4 linked regions of the Arabidopsis thaliana genome follow. The protein of the gene in region 1 interacts with the protein of each later gene in a pairwise test. Each region holds a gene or a part of one and is shown in the gene's direction. Other genes may lie near its edges. The genes, in order: CCA1, SRT1, TCP2 and FHY3.

The links.
Region 2: the proteins of CCA1 (region 1) and SRT1 interact in a two-hybrid assay, tested with the Arabidopsis thaliana proteins (one study listed by BioGRID).
Region 3: the proteins of CCA1 (region 1) and TCP2 interact in a two-hybrid assay, tested with the Arabidopsis thaliana proteins (one study listed by BioGRID).
Region 4: the proteins of CCA1 (region 1) and FHY3 interact in a two-hybrid assay, tested with the Arabidopsis thaliana proteins (one study listed by BioGRID).

The regions. Positions count from the first base shown.
Region 1 is NC_003071.7:19,244,052-19,249,442, forward strand, and holds CCA1 (circadian clock associated 1), read left to right. Parts: upstream 1-1,539; 5' UTR 1,540-1,821; intron 1,822-1,905; 5' UTR 1,906-1,953; coding exon 1,954-1,992; intron 1,993-2,071; coding exon 2,072-2,183; intron 2,184-2,271; coding exon 2,272-2,333; exon of another isoform or gene 2,334-2,700; intron 2,701-2,811; coding exon 2,812-3,006; intron 3,007-3,093; coding exon 3,094-3,267; intron 3,268-3,350; coding exon 3,351-4,232; intron 4,233-4,303; coding exon 4,304-4,666; 3' UTR 4,667-4,864; downstream 4,865-5,391. Other genes in the region: PSI-P (photosystem I P subunit), read left to right, coding at 1-46, 134-220, 306-368, 627-664, 762-819; DUF4 (hypothetical protein (DOMAIN OF UNKNOWN FUNCTION 724 4)), read right to left, coding at 5,140-5,391. UniProt on the Arabidopsis thaliana protein: Transcription factor involved in the circadian clock and in the phytochrome regulation. Binds to the promoter regions of APRR1/TOC1 and TCP21/CHE to repress their transcription. Binds to the promoter regions of CAB2A and CAB2B to promote their transcription.
Region 2 is NC_003076.8:22,565,260-22,571,520, forward strand, and holds SRT1 (sirtuin 1), read left to right. Parts: upstream 1-1,962; 5' UTR 1,963-2,022; coding exon 2,023-2,121; intron 2,122-2,687; coding exon 2,688-2,717; intron 2,718-2,826; coding exon 2,827-2,919; intron 2,920-3,121; coding exon 3,122-3,241; intron 3,242-3,359; coding exon 3,360-3,460; intron 3,461-3,580; coding exon 3,581-3,689; intron 3,690-3,804; coding exon 3,805-3,884; intron 3,885-4,011; coding exon 4,012-4,090; intron 4,091-4,245; coding exon 4,246-4,299; intron 4,300-4,428; coding exon 4,429-4,525; intron 4,526-4,663; coding exon 4,664-4,746; intron 4,747-4,823; coding exon 4,824-4,891; intron 4,892-4,967; coding exon 4,968-5,070; intron 5,071-5,151; coding exon 5,152-5,457; 3' UTR 5,458-5,749; downstream 5,750-6,261. Other genes in the region: AT5G55750 (hydroxyproline-rich glycoprotein family protein), read right to left, coding at 481-585, 696-762. UniProt on the Arabidopsis thaliana protein: NAD-dependent protein deacetylase. Has deacetylase activity towards H3K9Ac. May have a function in the safeguard against genome instability and DNA damage to ensure plant cell growth.
Region 3 is NC_003075.7:10,162,386-10,167,359, reverse strand, and holds TCP2 (TEOSINTE BRANCHED 1, cycloidea and PCF transcription factor 2), read left to right. Parts: upstream 1-1,776; 5' UTR 1,777-1,917; intron 1,918-2,682; 5' UTR 2,683-3,050; coding exon 3,051-4,148; 3' UTR 4,149-4,438; downstream 4,439-4,974. UniProt on the Arabidopsis thaliana protein: Plays a pivotal role in the control of morphogenesis of shoot organs by negatively regulating the expression of boundary-specific genes such as CUC genes, probably through the induction of miRNA (e.g. miR164). Participates in ovule development.
Region 4 is NC_003074.8:7,821,479-7,827,912, reverse strand, and holds FHY3 (far-red elongated hypocotyls 3), read left to right. Parts: upstream 1-1,716; 5' UTR 1,717-2,133; intron 2,134-2,457; 5' UTR 2,458-2,498; coding exon 2,499-4,652; intron 4,653-4,756; coding exon 4,757-4,813; intron 4,814-4,897; coding exon 4,898-4,966; intron 4,967-5,040; coding exon 5,041-5,109; intron 5,110-5,205; coding exon 5,206-5,274; intron 5,275-5,367; coding exon 5,368-5,412; intron 5,413-5,497; coding exon 5,498-5,554; 3' UTR 5,555-5,916; downstream 5,917-6,434. Other genes in the region: AT3G22180 (DHHC-type zinc finger family protein), read right to left, coding at 1-300, 448-561, 679-723.

The DNA.
Region 1 (5,391 bases):
TGAGACTACTGAGTTACCTGAAATCGTCAAGACTGCTCAAGAAGCTGTAAATACTCTTACTTTATTTATACAATGATGATTCTACCTCTTGCTTCTGGGTTACATGTACTGAATTTGGTTGTTTGGATTGAAGTGGGAGAAAGTGGATGACAAGTACGCTATTGGTTCTCTTGCCTTTGCTGGTGTAGTGGCTCTTTGGGGTTCTGCTGGAATGATTTCGGTGAGTAGAAGAATACTACTTTCTTCTTAAAACCCTAGTGTTAAATTTCCTTTATTTGATTCCAAAATTTGTTATTGTGAAACAGGCAATCGATAGGCTTCCATTGGTTCCTGGTGTTCTTGAACTTGTAGGCATCGGTTACACAGGAGTGAGTTTCTTCTTCTCTTTGTATCACTTGAACCAAAGCTCTCATGAACCTGTTTTGAGGATATAGATGATTCATCACTTCACTTTTGGATTTAGGATTAGTTCTCTGAATTTAGAATCCGAACATCTGCAATTCATATGGAGATATGATATCAGAAATTGATTGCTGCTTCTCGCTAGTGTTTCAATCTTAAAAGACGTGTGTAGTTTGTTTCAATTGTGTGATGGACCTTATTAACATTTGGTTTTTCTATGGCAGTGGTTCACTTACAAGAACCTGGTCTTCAAACCAGACAGGTTAACCAATTCTCTCTTTAACTCTGTGTTTGGTTGCATGTAATACTGAGAATGGAAGACTCAAATTCTCGAGGAAATTGTTTGTTATCTGTTTCAGGGAGGCTTTGTTTGAGAAGGTCAAGAGCACATACAAAGACATATTAGGGAGCAGCTGAATCAAAGGAGGAAGAAGAAGAAGAAGAGCCTTTTTGAGGCCATTCATGAATTGGAATGAAGGATATCAAAAGAATCTAACACAAAGGCCACGTCCTTCCTTCAATCTTTCCTTCTTGTAACTAAATAATTTTCATCCTTTCTCTCTCTCTGTCTCTGGTCTTTTTTAGCTCAAAGTATCATCCATTTATGTCAAAGTGTTGTAAATTCCTCAAGACTATATATGAGATGTTTTGTTTCATTTTCCAAAATTTCAAACTTTGTCCCCATTTAGTCTTCTACCCTTCATGCATGGTTAGCTTAGCTTAATGCTGAACTGTTGAATAACGATATGGGCCTTATGCTAAAAGAACAAAACCTTATGGGTCTAAAAAAAATAAGCCCAATATAAAACTATGGCCCAAATAAGTTTAGGTCCATTAGAGTGTGAGAATAGCGCGTGTAGTGAACCGCACGAGAATGCGCGTTCGATTGTTGGTGAAGTAGTCGTCTAGATTCCCGGGTCCACTGATGTTTCTAGTGTATCAGACACGTGTCGACAAACTGGTGGGAGAGATTAACGATCTTAAGTAGGTCCCACTAGATCAAGATATTATAACGAATTGACCTTTTTAACCTTTCAGGTAGTCCCGGAACTCGTGGCCTAGAATACAAAGAAGGTTGTGAACAAGTTGATGTTAAGATGGACAAGAATGTAACTTGAACAAAAGCTGAATCATCTCTTCAGCCACTAGTATGTTGACATATGGCAGTTTCTTTTGTAGCCTCGAAATAAATAAATTAAAAAGTTTGAGGTTAAAGATAATTATAGTGGCTGAGATTTCTCCATTTCCGTAGCTTCTGGTCTCTTTTCTTTGTTTCATTGATCAAAAGCAAATCACTTCTTCTTCTTCTTCTTCTCGATTTCTTACTGTTTTCTTATCCAACGAAATCTGGAATTAAAAATGGAATCTTTATCGAATCCAAGCTGATTTTGTTTCTTTCATTGAATCATCTCTCTAAAGGTACTTAAGATTGATTTATTGTCATGGTCTTTCTTATTGTTTGATGAATAACTTGACTTGATTGTTTTTTGTTTTGTGGATTAGTGGAATTTTGTAAAGAGAAGATCTGAAGTTGTGTAGAGGAGCTTAGTGATGGAGACAAATTCGTCTGGAGAAGATCTGGTTATTAAGGTAAATTAAACTAAATTTTAGGGGGAAGATGATTGTTTTAGGTGTCAAAGATTGAGAATTTTAATGAAACTTGATATAGACTCGGAAGCCATATACGATAACAAAGCAACGTGAAAGGTGGACTGAGGAAGAACATAATAGATTCATTGAAGCTTTGAGGCTTTATGGTAGAGCATGGCAGAAGATTGAAGGTTGATTTTTATTTCCCTTTATATGTCTTATTTTTTGTGTTTGCAGAGGTTTGTCTTCAAACTGATTTGCTTTTTTTCATTTGGACAGAACATGTAGCAACAAAAACTGCTGTCCAGATAAGAAGTCACGCTCAGAAATTTTTCTCCAAGGTAAAATCGGTTAATTTTGAAATGATGTTCTCATCTTCATTGGCTTAATGCTTAAGACTTATTGAAAGCCAGGCAAGTTTTCTGCTTCTTTTGCTTCTTAGTCAGGAGATAGATAGATTACGTTTTTAGAGTTTAGTAATGAGCAATAAGTCTTAAAATAGTTGGAGAAATGACGAGATGTAATCGTTTTCTTTTGTTTATGCCTATATCTTGTTAATCCACAAACATGTACATAGATTCTTCAGAAGAATGTTAGTTTCTTTAGATTCTTCAGATAAACTTGTGTCTTCTTACCGATTCTGAGGTAGTGGCAAAAGTGGGCTGAGTGCTAGAAATTTTTGAATGTTCCTTGTGATAAGCCATAGAGGTAAACCATTTTTGATTTTCCAGTTCTGTCATTTAAACTTGTTAGTGTCATTAGATTTTTGTTTGTTTACGTTTGTTTAGAGGGTAACAAAACTACTCTCATCTCTCTCAGGTAGAGAAAGAGGCTGAAGCTAAAGGTGTAGCTATGGGTCAAGCGCTAGACATAGCTATTCCTCCTCCACGGCCTAAGCGTAAACCAAACAATCCTTATCCTCGAAAGACGGGAAGTGGAACGATCCTTATGTCAAAAACGGGTGTGAATGATGGAAAAGAGTCCCTTGGATCAGAAAAAGTGTCGCATCCTGAGGTGATTTTCATGGTCATATGGCATCTTTTTGCAGTGTGTCACATTGCTCCTCATGTTATTAATACAGATTGTGTGCTTCGTTTATAGATGGCCAATGAAGATCGACAACAATCAAAGCCTGAAGAGAAAACTCTGCAGGAAGACAACTGTTCAGATTGTTTCACTCATCAGTATCTCTCTGCTGCATCCTCCATGAATAAAAGTTGTATAGAGACATCAAACGCAAGCACTTTCCGCGAGTTCTTGCCTTCACGGGAAGAGGTAAAAAACAATCTTTCATTGCTATTTGAGGTTTTAAGACGATTAGTACTTTTCATGAAACTAAAACCGTGGGGGAATAACAGGGAAGTCAGAATAACAGGGTAAGAAAGGAGTCAAACTCAGATTTGAATGCAAAATCTCTGGAAAACGGTAATGAGCAAGGACCTCAGACTTATCCGATGCATATCCCTGTGCTAGTGCCATTGGGGAGCTCAATAACAAGTTCTCTATCACATCCTCCTTCAGAGCCAGATAGTCATCCCCACACAGTTGCAGGAGATTATCAGTCGTTTCCTAATCATATAATGTCAACCCTTTTACAAACACCGGCTCTTTATACTGCCGCAACTTTCGCCTCATCATTTTGGCCTCCCGATTCTAGTGGTGGCTCACCTGTTCCAGGGAACTCACCTCCGAATCTGGCTGCCATGGCCGCAGCCACTGTTGCAGCTGCTAGTGCTTGGTGGGCTGCCAATGGATTATTACCTTTATGTGCTCCTCTTAGTTCAGGTGGTTTCACTAGTCATCCTCCATCTACTTTTGGACCATCATGTGATGTAGAGTACACAAAAGCAAGCACTTTACAACATGGTTCTGTGCAGAGCCGAGAGCAAGAACACTCCGAGGCATCAAAGGCTCGATCTTCACTGGACTCAGAGGATGTTGAAAATAAGAGTAAACCAGTTTGTCATGAGCAGCCTTCTGCAACACCTGAGAGTGATGCAAAGGGTTCAGATGGAGCAGGAGACAGAAAACAAGTTGACCGGTCCTCGTGTGGCTCAAACACTCCGTCGAGTAGTGATGATGTTGAGGCGGATGCATCAGAAAGGCAAGAGGATGGCACCAATGGTGAGGTGAAAGAAACGAATGAAGACACTAATAAACCTCAAACTTCAGAGTCCAATGCACGCCGCAGTAGAATCAGCTCCAATATAACCGATCCATGGAAGTCTGTGTCTGACGAGGTACTTACTTGGACTAAAGATCAACTTCCTTTATTTCAAATCATTTTCTCATATAAATATTGTACATTCAGGGTCGAATTGCCTTCCAAGCTCTCTTCTCCAGAGAGGTATTGCCGCAAAGTTTTACATATCGAGAAGAACACAGAGAGGAAGAACAACAACAACAAGAACAAAGATATCCAATGGCACTTGATCTTAACTTCACAGCTCAGTTAACACCAGTTGATGATCAAGAGGAGAAGAGAAACACAGGATTTCTTGGAATCGGATTAGATGCTTCAAAGCTAATGAGTAGAGGAAGAACAGGTTTTAAACCATACAAAAGATGTTCCATGGAAGCCAAAGAAAGTAGAATCCTCAACAACAATCCTATCATTCATGTGGAACAGAAAGATCCCAAACGGATGCGGTTGGAAACTCAAGCTTCCACATGAGACTCTATTTTCATCTGATCTGTTGTTTGTACTCTGTTTTTAAGTTTTCAAGACCACTGCTACATTTTCTTTTTCTTTTGAGGCCTTTGTATTTGTTTCCTTGTCCATAGTCTTCCTGTAACATTTGACTCTGTATTATTCAACAAATCATAAACTGTTTAATCTTTTTTTTTCCAACCTGGAAAGAACTTCACTCAAGGGGCTCTTGTTCTTGATATATGCAAACGACAGAGTTCCAAAACGTAATCTTAGCCCATCCATCACCCTTAAGTTGTCTCATAACTCATAAGTAAGCACAAAAGCACCACACAAATAAGCAAACTCTACTTCCTTATGTCATCACATAAATAGAAAGGCAAGCAGCCAAAGGCAAGCAGTAGCAAGTACAACAGAGTTGTTACAAAAAAGGATTAAATAAAAACAGAAGTTATAAGGATAAATCCAACCACACCCATGAAATGACCCCATATCTTTTATTTGGCCGTCTCCTTGTCTTCAAAGCTGCTTTTGCACCTCACCAGACTCTTTTTCAGCTTGCTATAATCATCTGCCATCTCTTTCTCCATCCCTTTTTGTTGTCTGAGGGATTCACGTCTCATCTTGCGGAGAACTAACAGCGTGAGGACCTGTGATAAAGGTTCTGCAACGTCGAAACCCTGCTCCTCGAACATTTTAAATGTCTCTCTGTAGACATCTAGTTCACTTTTTGGAGTGTCCTCACACAT
Region 2 (6,261 bases), on another chromosome or scaffold:
CCAAAGCTGAGTTTAGATTGACACAGTTTAAAAGTGATAGATAAAAGGTAATAAGAGGAACAGAGAGAGAAGCTTGAAGAGACAACATGATGATGACTTAGAGAAAATGATGAGTGTTTGGTCTTTGGTTTTGAGATTTATAATAAAAAGAGATGAATTTTTTCCTCGGTTTCGTATTATCTGCCGCATGGCATTACACATGTCGGGGGTGTTGGAGGATTTCTGAAGAAAACGTTTGTGTCTTTTAGCTGATGTAGACAAATTTTTGTCATGTAATGACAAATTAAAACGCATTTGTATTACTTTGGAATATATAGATATATACCGATCGGTACCATTTTCATCAATAGATGTCCCAAAGAAGATGGATTATGAGTAACATGAGTTTTAAGATAATTGTGACAAGTCGAATGAATCTTTTGCTATGGGAAAGATGAAGAACTATGAATTGTTTCAAGTAATCAAATAATCAAATTTTACGTTGAAGACGGGGTTTACACGATGGATAATATGTGGCTCCAACTAAGCTGTTGCATGCTCCCGAGTTGCAATTACATTCAATCGCTCTGGCCCATGTAGTGAAGGCTGACAAGAGCAACCAGAAAAAAGTTGATGAGGGTCATTTGTTAGTAAGGTGCTAGCCTTCACAATAAACTGCTTAATTATGATAACTTTAACCCTCGCTTTGAAATTACCATCGATGATGGCTTTTTGGACAAGTTTGGAAAAAGTATCCACCAAACTCATGATTTGCTTGTGCATTCATGGTGCTGGGTGAGTTTGTTTTGACTAGTCTGTTGTAGGATTCAACTACTTTTCAAATGATGCACAAGCTAGTGTTGAGGTGTGACTACACTTTCGGACAGTATTGTATCCGAGGAAATATTAATTCTGATGGTGTGGGTTGTGGTCTTGTCGAGAGTGGAATGAGGACTAACATAACCCATATTTAAGTCTGCATGCTGCATGTTTTTTATTAAAAAACTGTGTGAGGTATGTTAATCTTGATAAATAAATTGATGATATATAACAATACTTATTTATGAAACTTAGATATGTTATAAGTTTATTCACCAAACTGAATTCAAAATGGCTTTGAGTGATGAGTTTCAAACCGGTTCGATAGAACAAGATTTTAATCTAATATAAGCTCATGGTTGAGCATGCACCAGAACGTCACATAGAATCAATTTAAATCCATAGTAAACCCTGTCATATGGTTTAGTATTTTACAAATTACAACCCACTTTATCAAATGGTTTCAATATTCAATGTGTTGACATTTACCTATATATTTTAAATAATAACAAGACGATAAATTTACTTATTTAATAACTCATTGTATTGGTTTAACCAATTAGATGAATGTTGTTTACAATGATTCAAGGATACCGAAACCGAGTTCAAGTTTTGTTATAAGATGATCTACAACCGTGAGCTTGACACAAATATTATCAGTCTAATTCTGGGACTAAAGAGATTATGGATCACATATTCATAATTTCATGATTACATAAAAAAAGTAAAAATAAATAAATGATATATAGATAAAAATTGGTGAAATGTATTAAAAGTTGCAATGATATCACCCACTTAATTTAGCTATGATATTTTAGGTTAATGTAATTAATGTTTTTCTTATATCAAATTTTTGTTTAGCCAAACTAAACAAATTTGAGAAATATAATAACATGCCATAAAATAAGTTTTATATGAATCCAATTAATACCCTAATTTGGATTTTCATTTAAATATCACAAACTTTAGGTTTATCAGGGAAACATAATAAAGAAATGTTATATAAAAATTTAGCAACACTTTTAAAATCTAAAATCTCTGATATTCTGAGAAATGTCAAAAAAAATATTCCAGATTGCATATAATAATAAAATCATAATAAAAAGAATTAAAATATATTGATACTTCATAAATAGAAGTCACTGTCCAAGTCTCTGCTTTTTTATACATCGAGAGGCAGAGAAGGTGTTCTTCTTCTTGTCCAAAAGAGAAGACAAAACCTAAATGTCTTTAGGTTACGCAGAGAAATTATCCTTCATTGAAGATGTTGGTCAAGTCGGCATGGCTGAATTCTTCGACCCATCTCATCTTCTACAATGCAAGGTTTCTATTTTTTGTTTCCTTCTCCTCCTGGGGTTTTGTGGGTTTACTCTATTTTTCTCGAGATTCTGTATAATTTCACGTTGCGTTGATTTTTTCTCTGGATTAATCGCTTAGCTGTTTAGATTTTAGAGTTGATCCTTCTTGTGTTCTGTCCTAGTGTTTGATTTTGGATCGTAGGTTCATATTAAGCCTTTAAGTTTTTATATTTGTCGTTTGGATGGTCGTGAAGAGTTGTTGAAGAGTTGGAGAATGATTAGTACTTAATGATTCATATAATCTAGTTTTAGGTTATACAGTACCTGTTTTTAGACTTGCATTGTGTTGTGTTAATTGAAGAATGAAATTTGGTGATAACAAGCATCTTAAGATTATGTGATTTTATTTACTGATTATGTGAAAACCGTTGTCTGGATTCAAATTTGTGTGGAGATTTTGACTGTTTGTTTATCATTGTTTTATCTAACAAGCCAAAAGGTCTGATAAAAGGATTTGGTTGCTAGATCTTGGCGTGTTTATTGTTTATTTCACTATTGTGCTAACTCTGGTGTTTGTCTTTGGAAATGCAGATTGAAGAACTTGCTAAGTTGATTCAAAAGGTTTGAATCTTTACCCTCTTTCGTATTCTTCTTGGTGCTTTTGAATATATGTTTTTGGTTTCTTGTTGTTATTTAAGTATCTTTAAGAAGGCTGGTTTGATGTTTGCAGAGTAAGCATCTAGTAGTCTTTACTGGTGCAGGCATTTCAACTTCTTGTGGTATTCCTGATTTCCGAGGCCCCAAAGGAATTTGGACGTTACAGGTGTGAGCTAAGGCCATTTAATCCTCTTTTCTTTGACTATCTGCTCGAGTGATTTGATTTTGAATTCTGTCATTGATTGGTCTGTTATCATCACTTCTTGACTTGATTGCATTGTCTTGGATTATGTGGCTAATATACTTGTCTTTTGTAAAGCATCATCTCTTGAAAGTTAACTCTTGTGATCCGTGTTTAATGGTTTCAGCGCGAGGGCAAAGATTTACCTAAAGCATCTCTGCCATTTCACCGTGCAATGCCGAGTATGACCCATATGGCTTTGGTTGAATTAGAAAGAGCTGGCATTTTAAAATTTGTTATCAGTCAGGTTATCCTCTTTTCCCTACAGAATTACTTTATAACTACCGTGCTTGAACACTGATAGGATCTTGTCTTCATGTTTACATTTCTAATTTCACTTATATGCTGCCTTCATAAATGATCAGAATGTGGATGGCTTACATCTTCGATCTGGAATACCAAGAGAGAAGCTTTCTGAACTGCATGGAGACTCTTTTATGGAGATGTGCCCATCATGTGGAGCAGAGTAAGCCAAAAATATGTTATTGCGTTTCTCTTATACTGTGACCCCTTGTGATTGAGAGCTGTCATAATCTATCCGTATATTGGACCATAAATGGTAACAACCTTTCTTGAAATTTCGAAGGTACCTGCGTGATTTCGAGGTGGAAACTATTGGATTAAAGGAGACATCAAGAAAGTGTTCTGTTGAAAAGTGTGGAGCTAAACTTAAAGATACGGTCTTGGATTGGGAGGTAACACGAAAGCGTTGCCTTTGAATCAGAGTCCACCAGTTTTACCTTTTTATGTAGTTAAAGAATTTAAGAAACTGAATTATGAAACTTTCTTTATATGACTCTTATGCTGCAGGATGCTTTGCCTCCAAAAGAAATTGATCCTGCGGAGAAGCACTGCAAAAAGGCTGATCTTGTACTCTGTTTGGGTACCAGGTAATTAATGACTCATAGGAACTCTCATGTTTGTTTCCTTAACACTTTTGATCAGTTAGCCAAACAACTCTCTTCTCTAGAGTATGTTGCATTTTGTTTGTTATATGTGTCTAACCTCTTTATGCAGTTTGCAGATAACCCCTGCTTGCAATTTGCCTCTCAAGTGTCTCAAAGGTGGAGGCAAGATCGTCATAGTTAATCTTCAGGTAATTGTTTATTTTGTTCATGTGCACGAGATTTAATGCGCGCCATATATGTAAATGAAATTTTCTCCGTTTGCTGATATTTTCTCTGGAATGTATATGGCAGAATGAGTTTTCTGGACTGTGTAGTTTGTGACTGATTATATTTACCCTTTCAGAAAACACCGAAAGACAAGAAAGCAAATGTAGTGATTCATGGTCTTGTTGATAAGGTAAGATTTACGTTTTGTTGTTTTCAAAAATTCTGGACATAACCTAAGTGATGTTTAACAGATTACCTTCAGCACTGTGCCCCAACTTGAGTCTTATAGATTTTTTCCCTTCATTATTCTGATGTGCAGGTGGTTGCAGGGGTCATGGAATCGCTCAACATGAAGATTCCTCCATATGTCAGAATTGATCTTTTCCAGATAATCCTAACTCAATCTATAAGCGGAGGTAGCTTTTCCTGAATCTTTCATGGTTTTTGTGCAACATATATGTCTTGTCCTGCACTGTAATTGGGTGTGTCAAACTTTTTATTAATGATGTTAGGCTTCATAGCTCTCACTCACATGTTTTTCATTTCTGTTACAGATCAGAGGTTTATTAATTGGACCCTGCGTGTTGCGAGTGTTCATGGATTGACTTCTCAGTTACCATTCATCAAGTCTATTGAGGTAATCTCTAGAAACTACTAAACCAATGCCAAAACAATCAAATTCAATTTTTCTGATATTTTTCATTTGCAATACAGGTTTCTTTCTCAGATAACCATAATTACAAAGACGCAGTTCTCGATAAGCAGCCTTTTCTTATGAAAAGGTAAAACTAACCTCTTCTTAGAAATCAGTTTCTTGTCCTATTTCTAACTCTTATATATATTCTCATCCTCTTTCAGGAGAACAGCACGAAACGAAACTTTTGATATATTCTTTAAAGTTAACTACAGTGACGGTTGTGACTGTGTCTCCACTCAACTTAGCCTCCCATTTGAATTCAAGGTTTATTACGATCCATAAAAGATCTTTGTTATCTTGACTCATGACCATTTTTCTCACAACATTTTCAAATAACCTGTGTAGATTTCAACAGAAGAGCATGTAGAGATTATTGACAAGGAGGCTGTGCTACAAAGCCTGAGAGAGAAAGCGGTAGAAGAATCCAGTTGCGGGCAAAGCGGTGTGGTTGAGAGAAGAGTGGTTTCTGAACCGAGAAGTGAGGCTGTTGTGTATGCTACGGTGACTAGTCTCAGGACTTACCATAGTCAACAATCTCTGCTTGCTAATGGAGACCTGAAATGGAAGCTGGAAGGTTCTGGAACATCCCGTAAACGCTCTAGAACCGGGAAGCGAAAATCGAAGGCTCTGGCAGAAGAAACCAAGGCATAGGAAGAAGAAAAGAAAGCTTTTGGTGTATATAAAGAAACACTAGTCTAACCGGAATAGGTAATATGGAAGTTATTGGCGTTTTGAGAGCTGAGTGAATTTTGTTTTTGGTCCACATTCGGTTCTCTTGAAACAAAAGTTAACCAGGAATTGAAAGAGATAATCTTGGTTCGTTGTCGTTTAGTATCGGTTGATTTTTGTAGAAGCTAGTGCATTCGAAATATTATTAAAAAAAATTTACAAGATGATCAAGCGATGCCAGAATCTGTCGACTGGTAGGAATCTCGGATTTGAAAAATACATAAAACGACATGCTCTCAATAATCCAGTACTGTTGCTATTTTAGCTTTAAAAACCTAGTGGTGAACAATTAATAATGATCAAGAAAAGATGTTATAGTACATAATTTAGATATACATTGTACTGTTCTATTTTAATATAATATGCAAATAATGTAAAACAAATCAACGAAAGTTAGCTGTACTTATATGACATCGTCAGTTAGAATTCTTTTTTTTTTTTTATGTTTTTTTATTGAATAAAAGGATAATTATGTTTTTCATTTTCAAGGGATTATTTTTTCCAAGTGGCAATTAATATTTCAAGTGGGAACATGTGTCAAGCGAAACTTTTTTTTTTTTTTTCACAATATTGATTGCAACTTTTTTGTTTGACAACTTTTAACTGTTAGGAATTAAGGAATAAATAAAAGATTCAAAAAAAATTTCGTTTTTTGTTTGACATCAAGAGATGGTCTCCTCTCAAATGAAAGTAAAATAGAAATCTATATTCATGAAAAAGATTGGA
Region 3 (4,974 bases), on another chromosome or scaffold:
GAGCAAGTGTCCGTTAAGACAGCGACACGTGCTCTCGAGACCGTCGTGAACCACTTGCTCTACTTCTTTCCCTTTTTCGTCATTTGTTCTTAATCGCAGTTATTGAATTCCACAAACCACATTAACTAATAACTAATCTGTACTTATTAAAGTTAATAGAGTATGGTGTAATACCACTTGACTAAAAAAATACTACTAGATTATTAAAATTGCAAACGATTTGTACTAATTCTTGAATTAAATTGTGCGTGTTTTTTCCATGAAGTTCTAGTGATGTGATGTGGGATTGACATAGTGTAAGTTATTAAAATAGGGGTTTGGATTTCTTTATCAATATGATTTGTTAGGTGGAAAAGAAATGTATAGGTTTTAAAATAGTTTTCATTCTTCCTTAAATATCATTATCCCGGAAATTTAGTTATTTCTACTTTAAAATAGTTTGTTTAATTTTTAGATATTTGCTTGGATTATGTGCTTACTTTGATAATTGTTTTGCATTGTCTCCAAAATAAAATTTGTTTTTATATTTTTATTAGGCTAGTACATGTTATGGTTAAAAATAGAAAAATATCATAAAAACTGCTAAATTTAGACATTTTCTCATATAAAATTTTTATTTTTTTTGTTCTATATAAAATCCCAAACTTTTCAAATTTGAACCCGAGCAATGGCTGACTAAGACCTATACGATAATTTAGTTAAAAAGGTCGTTGACGACATATTTTTCATTTGATTAATTTTTGAAATTCACACATAATAGTTACAATTTTTCTAATTTCTAAGATTCATAGTATAAGTTTTTATCGTAATAAAGATATTTTTTTGGTAAATAACAATTAACATTGTTATGATACGGACAGTATATATATTTCCATGTAGCATTTTTTTATAAAAAAATTTCATTAACATAAGCAAACTTTAAACACATAAACAAAATATAAATAATTTACTCACATATCTAAAATTAAAAGACCTCAAACCAAATAGATAATAAAAAAACAGAGGAAGGATTCGAGCTTTATGCTCAAGAGAGAGGGTCGAGTTTACTCTGCAAAATGTTCTGAATATACAATATTAATCATGTCGGAGAACAAAAAGACTAAGAGTGTAGGCGAGACCGCGAGAGTTCCTTTTTTAAAGCAAGTAGATAAAAACTTGGAAAACTAGCTTGAGAATGAGAGATATGTTTATATTGCGGTATGAATCTTTTATCTATCTAAATCTATGTTCCGAAGGAATTGGTGGAAAACCATGAGCTTTACATGTAAAGAATGATAGACCAAACCTATTTTGAAAACATAAAACATGTAGCATTTTTTATGATCGAAACATATCATAGAGTAGATTATTGAGTATTAATCGAATTCTATTTCTATGAACAAACTAAAATCCTAAGGACACTTGGACAAAGTGAATTGTTTTTTTGTTTGTTCTCCTCTCCTACATAAATATACATGTGACATGAGATAATATGATTTCTCATATTCACGCATTGATTTGTTTCTAACATTTCTATAGCATTTATGTTCACAACTTCTTGATATAATAGCTGCCAAAAAAAACTTCTTTAAATATTTTCTTGTGTTTTTATTGCCAAAAACAAACGAAAATATCAAATAATTTTTCTCACCTGAAATCAAATTACTGAGGATGATAATTTAATACAGATATTTTGTAGAGGACCGTGGCAATTCCGTGAATAAGTAATGTAATGAAGGGCAAAAATGGAAATAAAATCAAAGTTTATGCCCAATATCTCTCTCCCCATCTGATGATCACTCCTTTAAAATCACCATCAAAGAAATTCCAATTTTCTCGGATTTTTATTTCTTATATACAAATCCCTAAAACCCTATAGCCCTCTTTCTTCGTCACCTACTACTACTAACTCCAAGCTCAAGCTCCTCTGTTTCTTCTGTAAGTCTCAATTTATCTCATCGAATTTTCCGAGAAACAAACAAAAACCAATCTTTTTCATAGAAAGAATCTGAATTTCGTGTTTATACTTAATTCTGATTCCAAAAAAACAATTCTAGATCTAAGATTTTTATTTCTTGATGAGAATTTCACTGTAGAAAGAAGTGTATTTGTTCCTTTAATTTGCTTTAAAATTTTGGTTTCATATAATCTCAAAGCCAAGAGCTTGACACCTGTGATCTGCATAGAATCCAGAACACATCAATAATGATTCCTTTTTAAGAATTTTTAAATTGATTTAATCTTCTTGTTGGTTACTATGAAACAACTCTTTTTCTTTCATAATTAGAAACACCAAAATCTTTATATAGAGAAGAAAAGCTTAAAACTCGATTTCTGCATTTTTTGTCTTCTTACTCTTTAAAGCCCTCCATTGATAATCGCTTCAGCCGAAAGCAGTTGATTCAGCTTAATTATTTATCATAGCTTCTGATTCTTCTTCTAGCTCCTTCTTCTTTAATCACGATCATTAACTTTAAACCCGTTTTATCAATTGTTGTGATATGTCAGATCTACAATGAGTAGAGCATAAATTCGAATCAGAATAACTGATATCTTAATTATGTGTATATATGAATGAAAGTCATCTGTAGAAAAAGTCGATAAGGATGTAACATATATATATATATATATAAGCATTTATGTATATATATATGTGTAAAGATTTGTTCTTATGAGATTGTTTCTTTGTTTTTGTTATTGCAGGCTTGTGGTTAAAAATCATTTCAGACACAGTGCTTTTGATGACTCTCTGCAACAAACAACAGCAGCTGCAGACAAAGCTTATACGAAGCTGTATCTACTGACTTTGATGGTGAAATATCAAAAACCCTAAATTAATTTTAAAAAAAAACACATTTTTTTTCTTCTTTTGGTTTTTCCTCTGAGGGTATTCATCATCAATGCTTACAAAGTACAGTGGGTAAACAAAACAAAAACAAAAACCCATTTTTTTCTCCTTCTTTAAATCCCAAACCAACCCTAAAGTTTTGATTTTTAATTTTGGGGGTAACCAAAAAAAAACAAAACCCTAATTTTTTTTCTTTAGTGATGAGATTATTGGTGATGATGAAATGATTGGAGATCTAATGAAGAATAACAACAATGGCGACGTTGTGGATAACGAAGTGAACAACCGGTTAAGCCGGTGGCATCACAATTCTTCCCGGATAATTAGGGTTTCACGAGCTTCCGGTGGTAAAGATCGACACAGCAAAGTCTTGACTTCTAAAGGACCACGTGACCGTCGTGTCCGGTTATCAGTCTCCACCGCTCTTCAATTCTATGATCTTCAAGATCGGTTAGGTTATGATCAACCTAGCAAAGCTGTTGAATGGTTAATCAAAGCTGCTGAAGATTCAATCTCTGAGCTTCCTTCACTCAACAACACTCATTTTCCGACCGATGACGAGAATCACCAGAATCAGACATTAACAACAGTTGCTGCTAATTCCTTGTCTAAATCTGCTTGTAGTAGCAATTCAGACACGAGCAAGAACTCTTCTGGTTTGTCTTTATCAAGATCGGAGCTTAGAGATAAAGCTAGAGAGAGGGCTAGAGAGAGAACAGCTAAAGAGACCAAGGAAAGAGATCATAACCACACTTCGTTTACGGATTTGTTAAATTCCGGTTCAGATCCGGTTAACTCAAACCGGCAATGGATGGCTTCAGCTCCTTCTTCATCTCCAATGGAGTATTTCAGTTCGGGTTTAATTCTCGGGTCGGGTCAACAAACCCATTTCCCTATTTCAACAAATTCTCATCCTTTCTCATCAATCTCCGATCATCATCATCATCATCCTCATCATCAGCATCAAGAGTTTTCATTCGTTCCCGACCATTTGATATCACCGGCAGAATCCAACGGCGGAGCATTCAATCTTGATTTTAATATGTCAACACCCTCCGGCGCCGGAGCTGCCGTCTCCGCCGCATCAGGTGGTGGCTTCAGTGGTTTCAACAGGGGGACCCTTCAGTCCAATTCAACAAATCAGCATCAGTCATTCCTCGCTAATCTACAGAGGTTTCCAACATCAGAAAGTGGAGGAGGTCCACAGTTCTTATTCGGTGCACTGCCTGCAGAGAATCACCACCACAATCACCAGTTTCAGCTTTACTATGAAAATGGATGCAGAAACTCATCAGAACATAAGGGTAAAGGCAAGAACTGATGATATTAATTATTGCATCTTTGGTTTTGTTCAAATGCTCATTTTGTATGTTTATCTTTGGTTTATTTCAAAACAAATGTTAATCTCTTTCGTTGTCTGATGTGTGTTAGGGTTTTGTTTTATGTATTGAGGGTCTTTGGAAATCTTTTTGCATTGTGCTTGTAATGTTGTATTTGTGATAATAGCATTTTGTTTGTGAGTTTATAATTGAATTTTTGAATGTTATTTTTGCCATGTAATTGGTATAGTTAGCATTTTTTTTTTCTTTAGTAAATTGTTTATAGTACGAAGATACTGTTTCTTGGTATTCATGAACAAATGGTAGGTCAAGGCAATAGGGCGATCCTTTTAAGGTACTAGATTGAATCAAATCAAATACTCAGAAGAATTAAATACAGAAATTAAGAATTTTCCCAAAAAAATAAAAAATACAGAAATTAAGTGAAGAGACAAAAAAAAACTTGTAAATAAAAATAGAAAGAAAGAAAATATACATAATAATCAGGGAAATAAATAATTTTGATAGACAAAACTGAAAAATTGAGGGTAAGGCCATTATGCATTGAAGAGAGTGAAAATCAAAATGAATTGTCTCCTGTTGTGCTCTATGTTTGGTTCCCTTCTTCCTTAGCATCATCTCTCTCCATATGTATTGTTTTTATAATCTATCTATCTTATGAATATATCTTCTTCATTTGACAGCTGTTGTCTTCAACAATGGCTATTCCCAAATTTTCATGATTTTATTTCTTATGATCTGTTTATATTATTATAAGTTTTTTTAACTTTTTCTTTCATGGGCTACTTGATCTTCTGCACCCACATG
Region 4 (6,434 bases), on another chromosome or scaffold:
TTCCACAACAAACACATAACAGAAAACTGCCAGAGGATTATAGCAAGATCTTCTACTTACAGATTCCACTCTTTGAGCATCTTCTACAGAACCTTTCACACTAGAGTTTCCAGCCACGGTAGAACTCCTACTGACAACCGAAGGAGAAGCCTGCAACTGACTACCAGTTTCATCATAATTCCTTGATAAGCCACGAACCATGCCATCTCCATTCACGCCTGTATCAAATATCGACATGATTCTCGGATCCGCAGGATTGATTGCAGTACACCGAACATACAAAACAAACACAAGAATAGCCTGCAAAAACACACACGATACATAAAGGAACCTATCAGATAAGATCAATGCCATAAACTACACAGCTGTGGAATCCAAAACTCGTTATGAATTTGCAAAATTGATTCTGATCATAAACACTACTAGCTTGAGAAGCATTAAACATACCACGGGAGAGTAAACACCGATCAAAACGTATTCCCAAATACGACCTCCAACAAAAGGAGCGAAGAAAGCATAGAAAGCGACCACCAACAAGCAAAACACCGTAATTGCAATCACCTGAGAAGAAAAATACACAGAACCCAATTGAAATCACAGCCATTGGTGACTTTAGATTGAGCAGATTCATGAAAAATTGAAGCTTTGGCTATAGAGAAAGGTTACATTCGATTTTACCTGAAGAGTGTGAGCGGGAAGTTGCCAACCGTGTTTCCTCACCATACCTTCTTCTCCAACAACAATAAGCAAAGATAAACAAACTCTAATTTTCCGACAACGTCACCGTCACGTTGCCGTTCGCCACCGCCGGAGCGATTAAGTGAAGAGTGTTGTTGCTCGTTGAAAAGGGAAAGGGACTGAGAAAATATCGTCTCTCTCTGTTACTGTGGCAGGTTTAGTCTTAATTAAGTCCAAATGGTTGACCCAACTTTTACATTAGTGGATAATTAATTATAAATAATTTTGGTATTATAAATAATTTTGGCATAATTATAATTAAATTTCAGGATATTGGCTGGCTTTTTGTCAAAAAATATATGCTGTATTAAATTAAATCATGTCGGAAATAGTAAATTACCAACTGGCTATTGGCTATTGATTATGATATTTTATGAAATTTATTTTGAATTCATAAAATATTTCCAAAAATGGTATTTATTTTATTGTAGCTAATATGTAAAAAAAAGTTAGGAAATAATTTTTTTTTTACCAAACTTTTTAACATTAGTGGGACTAATTATAACTATGGTTTTTAAGACTGAGCTAATCTATATGTACAAAATTAAAAAGAACAGTGACTCATGCTAATGAGTGGCTATTGATTTATTTATTTTTTTGGACGGCTATTGATCTTTTTATTTTGGATCAAATATAATAAATTAATCCAATTCTGAAATAGTCATACCAATTGGCTCTTGGCTATTGAAAGTTGGTAAAAGCATTTACTAATATATATATATATATATAGTCCAAATTCAAAACTGATAGTTTGTAAATAACAAAAAAATATTTTGAATAGTTTACTATGATTTTTTTTTGTAATTCACCGTAATGTTTCAGTTTTCACCATAGTAAATACTTAGAAATACAAAATAAAATAATTCAAACAAGTCTTAGTCTTAGAGTGGACCAAACAAATTTTAAAAGCCTAAACAAGTCTACTCTTATAGATGTAAGTAAATCTCATCATTCCCATTATTCACGCTTCCCTCCAATTTTTGTTTTGGCATGCGCGTTGCACAAAATTTCAAACAAAAACAGTTTTTTTTTTTCTTTCTAATTTTATTTTATTAATAACATAAATAAATGGATAGAGATATTATTATTATCAAAAAACATGGTGATGCGTTTAGACAGAGAGAAGAAGAAGAAGAAACCCTAGACACCAAAAGAACGAATCGTGGATCTTCCGCCCACTCGCTTCCTCAGATCGCGTGAACACCACTCACCAATTTTTCTTCTCTTTCTCTCTTCTTCTTCTCTATCTCCTTTTCGCAGATCGATACCCCAACTCGCACCCGATTGGCGCGTGTTGTCTTCTTCTTCTTCCTCCTCTCGACGACGAAGAGATTAAAAAGAGACGGCCTTTTCTCAGTTTCTGCTCCGATTCGTATATCTTCTGTTTCGTACGAGGTAAAGTTTTCATTTTTATTTTTTGTTTTTGTTTTATAGTGATAACCAACACAAATGATTGGGTTATACAGTAGTTTTGATCAGCTTCGTTTTAGGAATTGGATTTGAGGATTTCGTTTATGTGATGAAATACCCACTAAGAATTTAGCTGCAAGTTGCTTTTTTCTGCAATTGTAAGGGCAAAATGTGTATACTTTCTCGATTTATCATCATAGAAAGATTGAATTTTGATGGGTTTCTCTGGTTTGTTACATCTTTTGTGTGTGACTTTAGTATACATTTTGACCTAGATATATGTACTGAGACCTAGATTTTGTCTTGCAGTGTTGTAAGACGTTTGTTTTGCCTGAGACTATAGGTTTGTCATGGATATAGATCTTCGACTACATTCAGGTGACCTTTGCAAAGGAGATGATGAGGATAGAGGACTTGATAATGTGTTACACAATGAAGAAGATATGGATATTGGCAAAATTGAGGATGTTTCTGTTGAGGTTAATACTGATGACAGTGTAGGCATGGGTGTTCCAACTGGGGAGTTGGTTGAGTACACTGAGGGTATGAATCTTGAACCTCTTAATGGTATGGAGTTTGAGTCACACGGTGAAGCGTATTCGTTTTACCAGGAGTATTCTCGAGCTATGGGGTTTAACACTGCGATACAGAACAGTCGTAGATCGAAAACTACAAGAGAGTTTATTGATGCGAAGTTTGCTTGCTCTAGGTATGGTACTAAAAGAGAATATGACAAATCTTTTAATCGGCCACGAGCTAGACAAAGTAAGCAAGATCCAGAGAATATGGCTGGTAGGAGAACATGTGCGAAAACCGATTGCAAAGCTAGTATGCATGTTAAGAGAAGGCCGGATGGGAAATGGGTAATTCACAGCTTTGTGAGGGAGCATAATCATGAGCTTTTACCTGCACAAGCTGTGAGTGAACAGACCAGAAAGATATATGCTGCAATGGCTAAGCAGTTTGCTGAGTACAAAACTGTTATAAGTCTAAAAAGCGATTCGAAAAGTTCTTTTGAAAAAGGTCGGACTTTATCAGTGGAAACAGGGGATTTCAAAATCCTGCTTGACTTCTTGTCACGGATGCAATCCTTGAATTCCAACTTCTTTTATGCAGTAGATCTGGGCGATGATCAGCGAGTGAAGAATGTATTTTGGGTAGATGCAAAGAGCAGGCATAACTATGGCAGTTTTTGTGATGTTGTTTCTCTAGACACCACCTACGTAAGAAACAAGTACAAGATGCCACTTGCTATTTTTGTTGGAGTGAACCAGCACTACCAGTATATGGTCCTTGGGTGCGCCTTAATATCCGATGAGAGTGCAGCAACATATTCTTGGTTAATGGAGACCTGGCTGAGAGCAATCGGTGGACAAGCTCCAAAGGTTTTGATCACTGAGCTAGACGTTGTAATGAACTCCATTGTTCCCGAAATCTTCCCCAATACACGGCATTGCCTTTTTCTTTGGCATGTATTGATGAAGGTTTCTGAGAATCTTGGTCAAGTTGTTAAGCAACATGATAATTTTATGCCTAAGTTTGAGAAGTGCATCTATAAATCAGGGAAAGATGAAGACTTTGCGAGAAAATGGTATAAGAATCTTGCTAGATTCGGCCTCAAAGATGATCAATGGATGATTTCTTTATATGAAGACCGCAAGAAATGGGCACCAACCTACATGACTGATGTTCTTTTGGCTGGGATGTCTACATCTCAACGAGCTGATAGTATTAATGCTTTCTTCGACAAGTATATGCATAAGAAGACTAGTGTACAAGAATTTGTAAAGGTATATGATACAGTTTTGCAAGATAGATGTGAAGAAGAAGCCAAAGCTGATTCTGAAATGTGGAACAAGCAGCCAGCAATGAAGTCTCCATCGCCATTTGAGAAGAGTGTTTCTGAAGTCTATACTCCTGCAGTTTTCAAAAAGTTCCAGATTGAAGTTTTGGGTGCGATTGCGTGTAGTCCTAGGGAGGAGAACCGAGATGCCACATGTTCTACTTTTAGAGTGCAGGATTTTGAAAACAACCAAGACTTCATGGTAACATGGAACCAAACAAAGGCTGAAGTCTCTTGCATCTGTCGGTTATTTGAGTATAAAGGGTATCTCTGCAGACACACTCTTAATGTTCTTCAGTGTTGTCATCTTTCTTCCATCCCCTCGCAGTACATATTGAAGCGGTGGACAAAAGATGCAAAAAGCCGGCATTTTTCAGGAGAACCTCAGCAGTTGCAGACTAGGCTGCTGCGGTATAACGATTTGTGCGAACGAGCATTAAAGCTGAATGAAGAGGCATCCCTCTCTCAAGAGAGTTACAATATTGCATTCCTTGCTATTGAAGGAGCTATAGGAAACTGTGCTGGTATTAATACTTCCGGCAGAAGTCTTCCAGATGTTGTAACGTCACCAACTCAAGGTCTGATTTCTGTGGAGGAGGACAACCATAGCAGAAGTGCAGGCAAAACCAGCAAGAAAAAGAATCCAACTAAGAAAAGAAAAGTAACTTACTTGTTTACGATCTCTCTGTGCAGACAGCTTATGGATTTTGTTCGCTTTGCGCTTTTATGCTTTGCAAATTTGATGATACCAAATACTAATTTCAGGTGAACCCAGAGCAGGATGTTATGCCAGTTGCAGCGCCAGAAAGCTTGCAACAGATGGTCTGTCTTTGTTGACATGTCGTGGCAAGCCTCTTTTAAACACAAGTCGCCTAAGTATGTCATATCTGAATTTTGTAATTGCAGGATAAGCTGAGCCCAAGGACGGTTGGCATTGAAAGCTATTATGGAACACAGCAGAGCGTACAAGGAATGGTAATTAAGCACAACATACGTTCATATTATTATCTAGATACGTATGTAATCTGTTTTGATATGTGTTTTTACAGGTCCAGCTGAACTTAATGGGGCCAACTCGCGATAATTTCTATGGGAATCAACAAACAATGCAAGGATTGGTATGAAATCGACCATGACATGTGTATAAGTAGCTTCTGCTGTTTTCTATTTCATTAACTTTGGATAAAAAAACAATTCCGGCTGGTTTTCTGTAGCGACAGTTGAACTCGATAGCACCAAGCTACGACAGTTACTACGGTCCTCAGCAAGGCATCCATGGACAGGTACCTACATACCTATTCTCAATGCTTTCATAAGTTTTGTCAATCTTGTAACAAGACTGCCAAAAAAGTAAAATCTTACTTTGTTCTTTCTAGGGAGTAGATTTCTTCAGGCCTGCCAATTTTTCTTACGACATCCGGGTAACTATTGCAGTTGTAATAAAAGATCTTTCTTTTTCCTGTTTGTATCAATTGGTCATCTTAGTTCATGGTGATTTCTGTGCAGGATGATCCTAATGTGAGGACTACGCAGTTGCATGAGGACGCGTCTAGACACTCGTAAACAAAACTATAAGTTAACCACGAATCAAATCTTAAGAGTCGTCAGTCTGTGGATGAAAGATTCAAATCTCGGAGAACAAAAGCCAACGAGCACTAGGACGCGGTTAGGTTTGGAACAGAACATGAGCCAAAGCTCTGTTTTATCTTCTCAAGTGTTAAAAATAGGATGTTGTATTGTTTCGCCTTTATTCTCAGAGATTCGATTCTGTTAATATTGTTTGTATTAGTTCTGATGATCATATGTTTGATCATTTGACTGTTCGATTTAAGAGGTGAAGAAACAGTGTTACAAGAATATTCTCTATTTGTAAACTCTTGTTAATTCTCTTGATTAGGTTTCTCAAATTTGTATCTTGTGATTAATCTTGCCCAAATTACAAACAAAATTGTGGTATGCTATTGGCGGTTTGAATCTTGTTGAAGAGAGGAGAGAGGGTTACATAGTATAAATATAAAATTCTTTAAAATCAGAGAAGGATCATAAATTTATTATTATTATTTTTGAGTAATCATAAACAATTTTTCTCTTCTTTTGGCAAATAGAGCTTTTAGGCAAATTATTAAAATGTGGCCTAACATTCTATTTTGTATAGAAGAAATTATTTAAATACTGTTATTAAAAAAAACATTAATGAATAAATACGATTTAGTAATTTAATGTAAAAAAACAAACAAAAATTTCTATAAATGTTAAAGAGATGAATTTTGTTTTCAAAATAAAGTCCTAAAACACATTAAAAATGTGATATATGTAGAAAAAAAATGTGGCGTTTTATTTGATTATTTTTTAGTGGCCTAAGGAAAATGCTTTTTTTCTTACATATCAAGCAAGACTCTCTTGCAATTGAGACTCATTTTTCGTTTATTGTTCCAAAAAAATT